2 linked regions of the Coturnix japonica genome follow. The protein of the gene in region 1 purifies or fractionates together with the protein of each later gene. This does not show direct contact. Links are inferred from orthologs where the notes say so. Each region holds a gene or a part of one and is shown on either strand. Other genes may lie near its edges. The genes, in order: KIAA0232 and DYRK1A.

Evidence for each region.
Region 2: the proteins of KIAA0232 (region 1) and DYRK1A purify together in Homo sapiens (affinity purification with mass spectrometry; 3 studies listed by BioGRID and IntAct, with this or other methods). This does not show direct contact. The link is inferred for Coturnix japonica from reciprocal best matches to the Homo sapiens genes KIAA0232 and DYRK1A.

Annotation. Positions count from the first base shown.
Region 1 is NC_029519.1:72,409,814-72,414,288, forward strand, and holds the start of KIAA0232 (uncharacterized protein KIAA0232 homolog), read left to right. Parts: upstream 1-1,656; 5' UTR 1,657-1,826; intron 1,827-4,475.
Region 2 is NC_029516.1:96,485,171-96,488,981, reverse strand, and holds part of DYRK1A (dual specificity tyrosine-phosphorylation-regulated kinase 1A), read right to left. Parts: coding exon 3,734-3,811; intron 3,056-3,733; coding exon 2,432-3,055; 3' UTR 1-2,431. UniProt on the Homo sapiens protein: Dual-specificity kinase which possesses both serine/threonine and tyrosine kinase activities. Exhibits a substrate preference for proline at position P+1 and arginine at position P-3.

The sequences.
Region 1 (4,475 bases):
GTGGATTTGTACCTGTAATATACATTGCTAATACATTGAAAATGTTCACAGCAGCCTGTGTGGAGATCAGTTGGAAGTGGTGCCAATTTTCACCTCACACAAATCGCAGGTGTCCCACATTTTACTGTATTTTATTTCTATCTTCAAAAAGGGAACTCAGATTCCGAGCTTGAAAACAAAAGGAGATGTGATTTTGATTGGCACGGGTCGTATTGCTGTGCTGGTGAAGTGCTTTCGATAAAGCCGTGGAGTGACTCAGCAGAAAACAGTCAGCAGGATATTTCCCCAAGCTTTTCCGTTTTCAGTTTCAGCTCTTCTGAACAAGAAAATAAGTGAAACAGTAATTAAACAGCTCACGGAATGACTCCGCTCTTCCAGCACGGGGTTTGAAGCGCTGCTTTCTCTTCAGAGCACTCCCATAATACTCTGTCAAGGTTTGGAAGAAGCTGTGCTGATTAACTCCATGTTCATATGACACCAATTACTGCCTCGGCAGCATTCAGGACAACGTCAGTAGCTCATGCAGTCACACAGTCCCGCACATTTAACTTTAAAGATAGGTTTATTTGCTCAGCTAAATCAAATGTACAACTAAATGTGGTGCTTGGTAAAGAACAGCTAAAAAAAAAACCAAAACCAATTCCTGGCTAAAAATGAAAATTAAGGAGAAATAAGAGTAATGCTGTTGTCGTGTATCACAAATAAGTACGTGGGTGGGGAGGCAGTGGCCACTACCTTGGCACACATTCGTGGTTTCTATGAGTTTTCATACACAGGTTTAACTCTCTGGAATGCCCACACCCAGCTGCGGGATCATCTTGTCAGTGGGGAGCGTGGTTTCAGCATGGACAGCAGTGGTAGCATGAGCCTGGTTAATGGCTGTGAGTAAAGGGAAAACCCTCAGAATGACACGGTCTGACTTTGGCATCTTACATAATACTGACTTTCCTTGCACCTGCGTGTGCTCATACAGCTGAGAAATGAACAGACCCAACACACATCCAAGAGGGCGTTATTATTTCCCCAATTAAGACGCTTAATTAGCACTGCGGTGTGCCGCCCTCGTCGTATTTTCAGTCTCACCGCGGCCTACTTTCATCCATCCACCACACTAAAAGTGCTGCTCTTTCATCACCCCTCGGTGCACACACAGCTCTGACGAACCCGGCGCTTCATCCACGGGGATAAAAGTTTCTCATCTCCTCACAGCGGCTCCCAATAGCAGCCTTTCATTTCAGCCCGGCTCCCTCACCCACTCTATTCTCACACCGTGCCCTCGCAGTGCCCGCACACGGTGTCACTCCGTCATTATCCCCACTTCCTTCTCCTCCACATTCCATCCCCGGGCTCCTCCCGCCCCTTTTCTCCTCAGGCGCTCCCCCACCGGGCGGGGCCGCAACACCCAGGCGGCCCAAAGGGACATTTCCCGTCCCGTCCCGCCCTTCCTGCCGCCATGCAGCCGCTCTGCTCTCCCTCTCCGCTCCTCTCCCGTCCCCTCAGCCCCGCACTTGGGCGGCGGGATCGGGGCCGCCCTCTGGGCGGAAGGATCCGGGGCGGGGCCTGCGGCGCGGTCCGCCGGGGAGCTGAGTCCTGTTGCCGGGTGACGGAACGGCCGCCTCCCCCCCCCTCCCCTTCTCCCCTCCCTCTCTCCCTCCCTCCCCGTGGCGCTGGGAGCCGCCGCCGCCGCCGGTTTACGTAACGCCTCCCGGGGCAGGTCCCGGCTCCGTCCCGCCCGCCTCACTCGGGGACGGCCGCAGCGGGACGGAGTCCGCCGCCTCCTCCGGCTGCCAGAGGCCCCGGGCCCCCGCGCCGCGCCGCCACGGCAGGTAAAGCCCGGGATGAGCGGCGGGAGGGGCAGGGCCGGGGCGGCGAGGGGACGGGGACGGGGCCTCCATTGCCGCCGCCGCCGCACCGAGGGCCGGGCCCGGCCGGGGAGGCCTCCCTCGCTCCCTCCGTGTGCCGGCGGGAAGCTAGAGGAGGAGCCGCGGGGCCGGGCGGCGGGAGGACGGCTCCACGGGCCGGGCGGGGGAGCGGGGAGTGGAAGCGGCGGGAGGGGAGAGAGGGGCCGGCTGGGGGGTGACAGCGAGCGCCGGCGGCGGGCAGGGCCGGGAGGCGGGGCCGGGGGCCCGGCCCGGGGTGCCCCGGTACGAGCGGCTGGCGGCCGGCCCGGCCCCGCCCGCATCGTTCCGATCCGACCCGCGGGGTCCCGGCGCCAGGTGAAGGGCGGGGGGAGCCGCAGCGCGGGCCGGGCGCACCCGGGGGGGCAGAGCTGGAAGCTGCAGGGCAGAGCTCAGGGCAGAGCTCAGGGCAGAGCTCAGGGCAGAGCTGCAGGGCGGGCGGGGACGGCCGGAGCTCGGTTGGTCGTGACAGCGCAGCGCAGCGCGGGCCCCGCCGTGACCTTTCGGCCGCGCTCCGCCGGCTCCGGGCAGCGCAGCGGGGCTGAGCGCTGCGGCTCGGGGCGGTGCGGGCAGCTCCTGGGCTTCAGGCGGGAGGCGGCCGGCGGGACTCGGAGCCGCTTTTTTCTTTCTCTTCCCCCCCCGCCTCTTTTCTTTCCCCTCCCGGCAGCATTGTCCTTTAGGGGCCTATTGAAGGCAAAAGGCGGACAGAAAGGCTCGGGCTGCCGCCGGCGGGGGGCGGGGCTCGGCTGACGGCGGAGTGACGGCAGCCGCGTCCTATGGCCGCGCGGGGCGGGCCCGGCTGGGCCGCAGCCGCTGGCGGGCGGCGGGCGGGGCGGGGGCCAAGGTTTGCCGAAGGTTACGGCTGAACGCGGCAGCCGTCCGGCCCAGCATCCAGCCCGACGGACGGAGCCGGCTTCACACGGGCTGCGCTGCCCGGAGCGCGGCCACCCTCCTAAACTTTGAGAGAAGTGGGACCGCGGTGCGCTGCCCCGTTTTGTCTTTGTTTTAATGGCTCGTTGCGGTACCTGGCGCTTATGTGAAGGGTGAGGACGGTGCCGTTTGTCCTCTTAAGAGCAGGCATTCCTGCGGTCCCTCGTTTTCCGTCTGTGGGGTTGTAGCTGATAGGAGTGGAGCTGAGGACACTGCGGTGTGTGCAGCAGGTTTCCCTGCCAGCCCTTCGGAATGCTGGGCTTTATGGCCTTTTTTTTTTCGCACGCACGACTTTGTGTCGCTGTGATGAAGAGGAAATTGCAGATCAAATTGGGTGTCCCAGCTGTCACAGGTGAGCTTGCTGTGATTCAGCGGGTAATTGTATGAAGCAAGTTATTTCACCACAGCACCCGATCCCAAGCAATGCAGGCTGCTTGTGGTCCCTGCCCATCTGAAATGGCCTTTCTTAGATTTATTGCTGAAGACAGAAATATTCCTTATAAAAGTAAATGACACGTAACTTGCTCGTTACTTGATGTGTAACTCTGCGGATTTTATTTTGTACTGATCCTCCATCTGCTGCTTCTTGTCAGTATGGATGTGCTAAAATGGTCGTGTACAACCCTTCCCTTGCGATTAATAAAGTTTGTTGTGTGTGTGTGTCAAAATCCCCAAACTCCAGCACTGAGATGCCAGAGAGGAAGTAGATGACATGAATGAAGACAAGCAGTTCCTTATACGTGTGTCATGTCCTCCACGTTCCAAGAATTCTAGGGGAAAATCCTGCTTTGAACTCTGTGTGGAAAACCTCAGCAGTTGCTGTCCATGCCTCGTTGTGTGTAGCAGGTGTTCCCGTGCTGACAGCAATGGAACTTAATCTCAGTTTGTCTGTTTTGTGCACTGTTGGAGGTAATGATGCTTGTAGACTGCGGGTTGTGCAGATTGACATGAGCTACGTGACCCCATGGCCCTTCTGCTCATCAGCAGGTGAATCGAGAGGAAGAGGAGAACAGATTGATATGTGACCCCAGAGGAAAGATAGGAGGTCTTGAACATCTGTTACCTTAATATGCTGATTCCATAGCCTGCACCCCCCACTGCTTTCCCTCTTGTTGCTATTCATTGTTCTTCTGAGTAAGAGAAATTCCATAGGAGTAAAAGGATGTCAGCATTTTCCTTTGCTGCTTTGCTATGCGTTCTAGCAGGAAGAGGGACGAAGTGGGATCTGTACACTGCTTATAACTGAGTGTCAGCTTCCCTCCTTGTCCTTCCTAAGCTGCCATAGTATCACAGAGCCCCAGTAGGAATCCTAGTTATTCAGTTCAAACTGAGCAAAATCATCTGCCACTTCAGACTCTGCTTAAAGGAGCATTCAGAATCGCTTAATGATGGGTATTGAAAGTGGTATATGTTAAATATCACCTCTAAGCCCATCTAAATGATAATATATTCAAAGGTATATATAATTCTAGGGCTTCCTGTAGATGGTGTGAGAAAGAGACCCCCATTTCCATTTACTCCTTTGTAGCTTGCTGCTTTTATTTATTTTGCCCTTTATTCTTCAGACACACCTTGACAGCACATCTTTCATACTTGTCTGGTGGAATAAAGCGAAGCCCCTACAATTCTGCAGTGGTAATAACTTAT
Region 2 (3,811 bases), on another chromosome or scaffold:
GCAACCCGTGCACACAAAAATACCCAGATTTCATATCACCCTTATATTCCTAGACAGCAGTAAGTACTGGATTCCTTTTTATATTGCTGAACTCAGTATCCTTTTTGTTTTTAAGGTGACAGCTTTCCAATCCCTGTAAACTTCTCTTAATCACTGAGTTTAAGAAGAAAGGAAAACAATCAGGAAAAAAACAACCCACTTTCATCCACAGGGTTGACACTTCAATAGAAAAGAAATATGGATCACTTGATAAAAAAGTCGTGATTTACCAAAAAAAAAAAAAAAAAAAGGTAATCCCAAGTATTCATTCTCATGTACATGGTATTCAGCTGCTGTGCTGCTACTGCAAGTATAAAAAAGTCCACCTTTTAGTCTGAAAAAAAATTACTTAGCCACATGGAACTGATCAGTGTGAACTCCGGAATTTCTGCTGAATTAACTTTTAAAAGGGCTTACTGGCAGAGGTAGATCACTGCTTCTGTAATATATAATGGGCAAACAGTGTTAATCTGGGATGGGCAATCACTGACTCACTCTTATTCTTTCAGATGTTTTTCACCATGCTTTTACTTCTAATATTAATAAATCTCTGACTGGGCCCATAAATTTTGCAACTGCCAAGCTGACTGTGTTATATTAAGGCAGCATTACCCAAAAATTAGGCACCTGTTAAATACAGCCTTCTAACCTCAGGTCTCATGTGAGTGTTTTGCTTTACTCAGACTATTATTTTGGACCTGTTCATGCAATCAAGGTCTTGCCTTCAAGTTTACAATTATGTTAATAAGGAATACAAGAATCAAACTGCTGGTTTCATAGCTTCTGGATCTAGCGTCCCTTTTACCTTCAGAAGCCTGAACACGTTTATAATGTAACAGATGTTATAGTCTTGAAGTAGATGTCAATCTATTATGTTCAGTACACAGATTGCTGTAAATGTATTGGCTATGAATTCAACAACAGTTCCAGTTTTGTTTAAGCAATAGTACAGCCATAATTTTCAACTGACATTTAAAAATGGTCTAGTTACACCTTGTGTCAAAGTGCAGAACTGCTACATTATTGGTTACAGACATCTATGTGCTATAAAAACAGCTTTGGTACAATAAATTATCAAAAAAGAAAATAAATTTTTGTAAAATTCACAGCATAATTGTGAGGCAAAAAAGCAGTCACATAAAATTCTGCATTTTTAAAAATGTTCAGGATGAACAGAAGACGTCTTTGTGCAGAAGTAATGGTGGAGAAACCACGTGCCAAGAAAAAGCAAAAGAAAAAAGTAAAAAGCGGGAAGGGACACAGTTGTAGCTATTTCCATCAAACGCAAACCACTACTCCTGTGACCTTCAACCAATAAGGAAGTCAACTTTATGACACACGCAAAGTGACCTTGCAATACCTTACAATAAGTGGGTCACAAAAGTCTATTTTAAAAGAAAGGCCTCTTGAATTACCCATTCTCTGTGTTTTCAGCATTAAGGACCGTCTGCAAAAGCATGTCCAAAAGTGATTGCATCTGAAATGGTAGGCTCTTCTAACTTAAGAGTCCAAATCCATAAGGCCAAAGGTTATCCCAAAGACCACCACTTAGACCTCCCCACGACTGGCCAGGACCGACCCGTTGATTGCTTCTCAGTGCACCTTAGTTATGAAACCAGTCATATTTCAACACTAACTGACTGCGGTCTCCAAAATATGAGACACGCAGAATCCCATTACAATTGCTGCTTTGATCCTCAGTAGATTCAGATAAGGAGAGTTCTGATCACCGCCACTTATCATGCTTAATGTGCCTTACAAAATCCATTACAACCGTCCCTTTTTACAACTGAAGAATATATATTTGTGTGATCTGAAGGTCCCTCTTTCTTACAGTACTGCATTTCTGTGCCCATGTTTGTTTGGGGAACTAAAAAAAAATACACTTATCTTATTCACTCCTCTCCCACCCAAAAATTTCAAAGGGCCTTTTTGTAAATCATGTGCAATGCCATTAAAAAGAAACTAGTTTGCAACTACAGCTAACATTTGAACAATAATCCCTGTTGAATGAGTCTGAAAAAGGGGGGAAAAAAAACCAAAAAAATTTTAAAAAACCCCTCTTTCTCCCCTCCCCTCCCCAGTCCCCAAGAAAAAAAAAGCAAACTATGACTAGGTTGTGGCAAGTTAAAATGGGGGAAGCGAAAGGTGAACGCTACTATGCTATCTGTTAAGGTGGGTCCGGACATGGCTCTTAAAAAAACAAACCAAACCAAAAAAAACTTCATTGTCCCTTTGCAATCTTTTCAAGTCTAAAAAAATAGTCAGCTTTGCCCTCCTGTAGCGGTTCAGTGAGTTTATCTCCTTCTGATTCAAGCAGCTTTGCACTTTGTTTTTGGAAAAACACCACTTCTATAAAAACACACAAGAAACAAACTTAGTTTCAGTTTAGTCACGAGCTAGCCACAGGACTTTGCTGAACACAAACTCCTGTCATGGGAGACTCTTCTCTATCAATCCCTTGCCTCATTGCAAGGTGTCCTTCAGTCATGTAATGAGCAGGACCTGTATTAGCAGAAAACTGGTACGTTGGATGTCCAGCTATGCCAGTTTCTTGGCGCGGATTAGAGTAGACTGTTAAATTCATGTCCATAGCTCCATTTTGTCCAAAGTCCAAGGTATTAGCAGCCACTGGGCGGTTCTGATAGGCCTGATTGCCTTGGTTACCAGTAGAGGAGGAAGATGTAGAGGAAGAAGTAGTTGAGGAAGACAGGGATGTCATGGAGTGGTGACTGTGGCCCACCTCCATAGAATCCTGGGTGGAGGAGCTGTTTGTTGGAGAATTGTAGACCCTTGGCCTGGTCCGGCTACCCAAGGCTTGCTGTCCATGATGATGGTGGTGGTGGTGGTGGTGATGGTGGTGGTGAGAGCTATTTCCGTGATGATGATGTAATGCATTCTGTTGTTGAGGGGTTACATGGAAGGTGGTTTCTTGAACTGGATGGTTTTCAACAGTGACCTGTGTGGGAGCTTCAGTGGCTGTCCAACCAATCGGAGGAGGAAACTGTTGTCGAACCTACGTTAACAGGAAAAGCAAATAGTGAAATGATTATTCATTTCTAATATACATTTCTAAATATAAAAAGTTTGTATTCTGAACTTTTTTTTTCCCAAACAATAAAAGTATGTCCAATTAATGATCTCACTGACAAATTAAAGTAAGCCAGATCTAGAAACACATCAATTTGTTGAATGAGTTAAATCACATACATGGGAGAAAAAGAATCTGTCAGCTGCAAAGTAGTATGTACAACCTTTTCTGGTTTCCATGGGCCTCTCCAGGAGCTGCAGCAGAGCTCCTGACCCACACCTGGTGCATATGCTGCCCTCCCCTGCTCAAGACCTTGGCACCAGCAGAGCTGTTTCTTTCTATAGTTAGTCATTCCTTTCTCCCAGTTGCTGCTGTACAGTCTTTTTTTTCCCCTTTCTTGAATCTGCTACCACAGAGGTGCAACCAGTGTCACTTCTTGGCTCAGTTCTGGCCAACAGCTGGTCCCTTTTTTAAGCCAGATGGAGCTTGCTCTTATCTAACTTGGGTCAGCTCCTAGATTTTTCCCAGACGACACCTGTGCATCCCCCCTCCACTCATGACATGAATCCCTGTCATGTAAACCTAATATAATTAGTTTCAGGGATTCAACACTCTCAGAAAAAATATATACATCAAACAGACAAAAGCTCTACTTCAGCATACCTGTGGGCTGTGTGTTTCACAGTCCATAGCTTGAACAGCAGCAGTGAAGTGTCCACCACTATGTCGATGCTGGTGTGT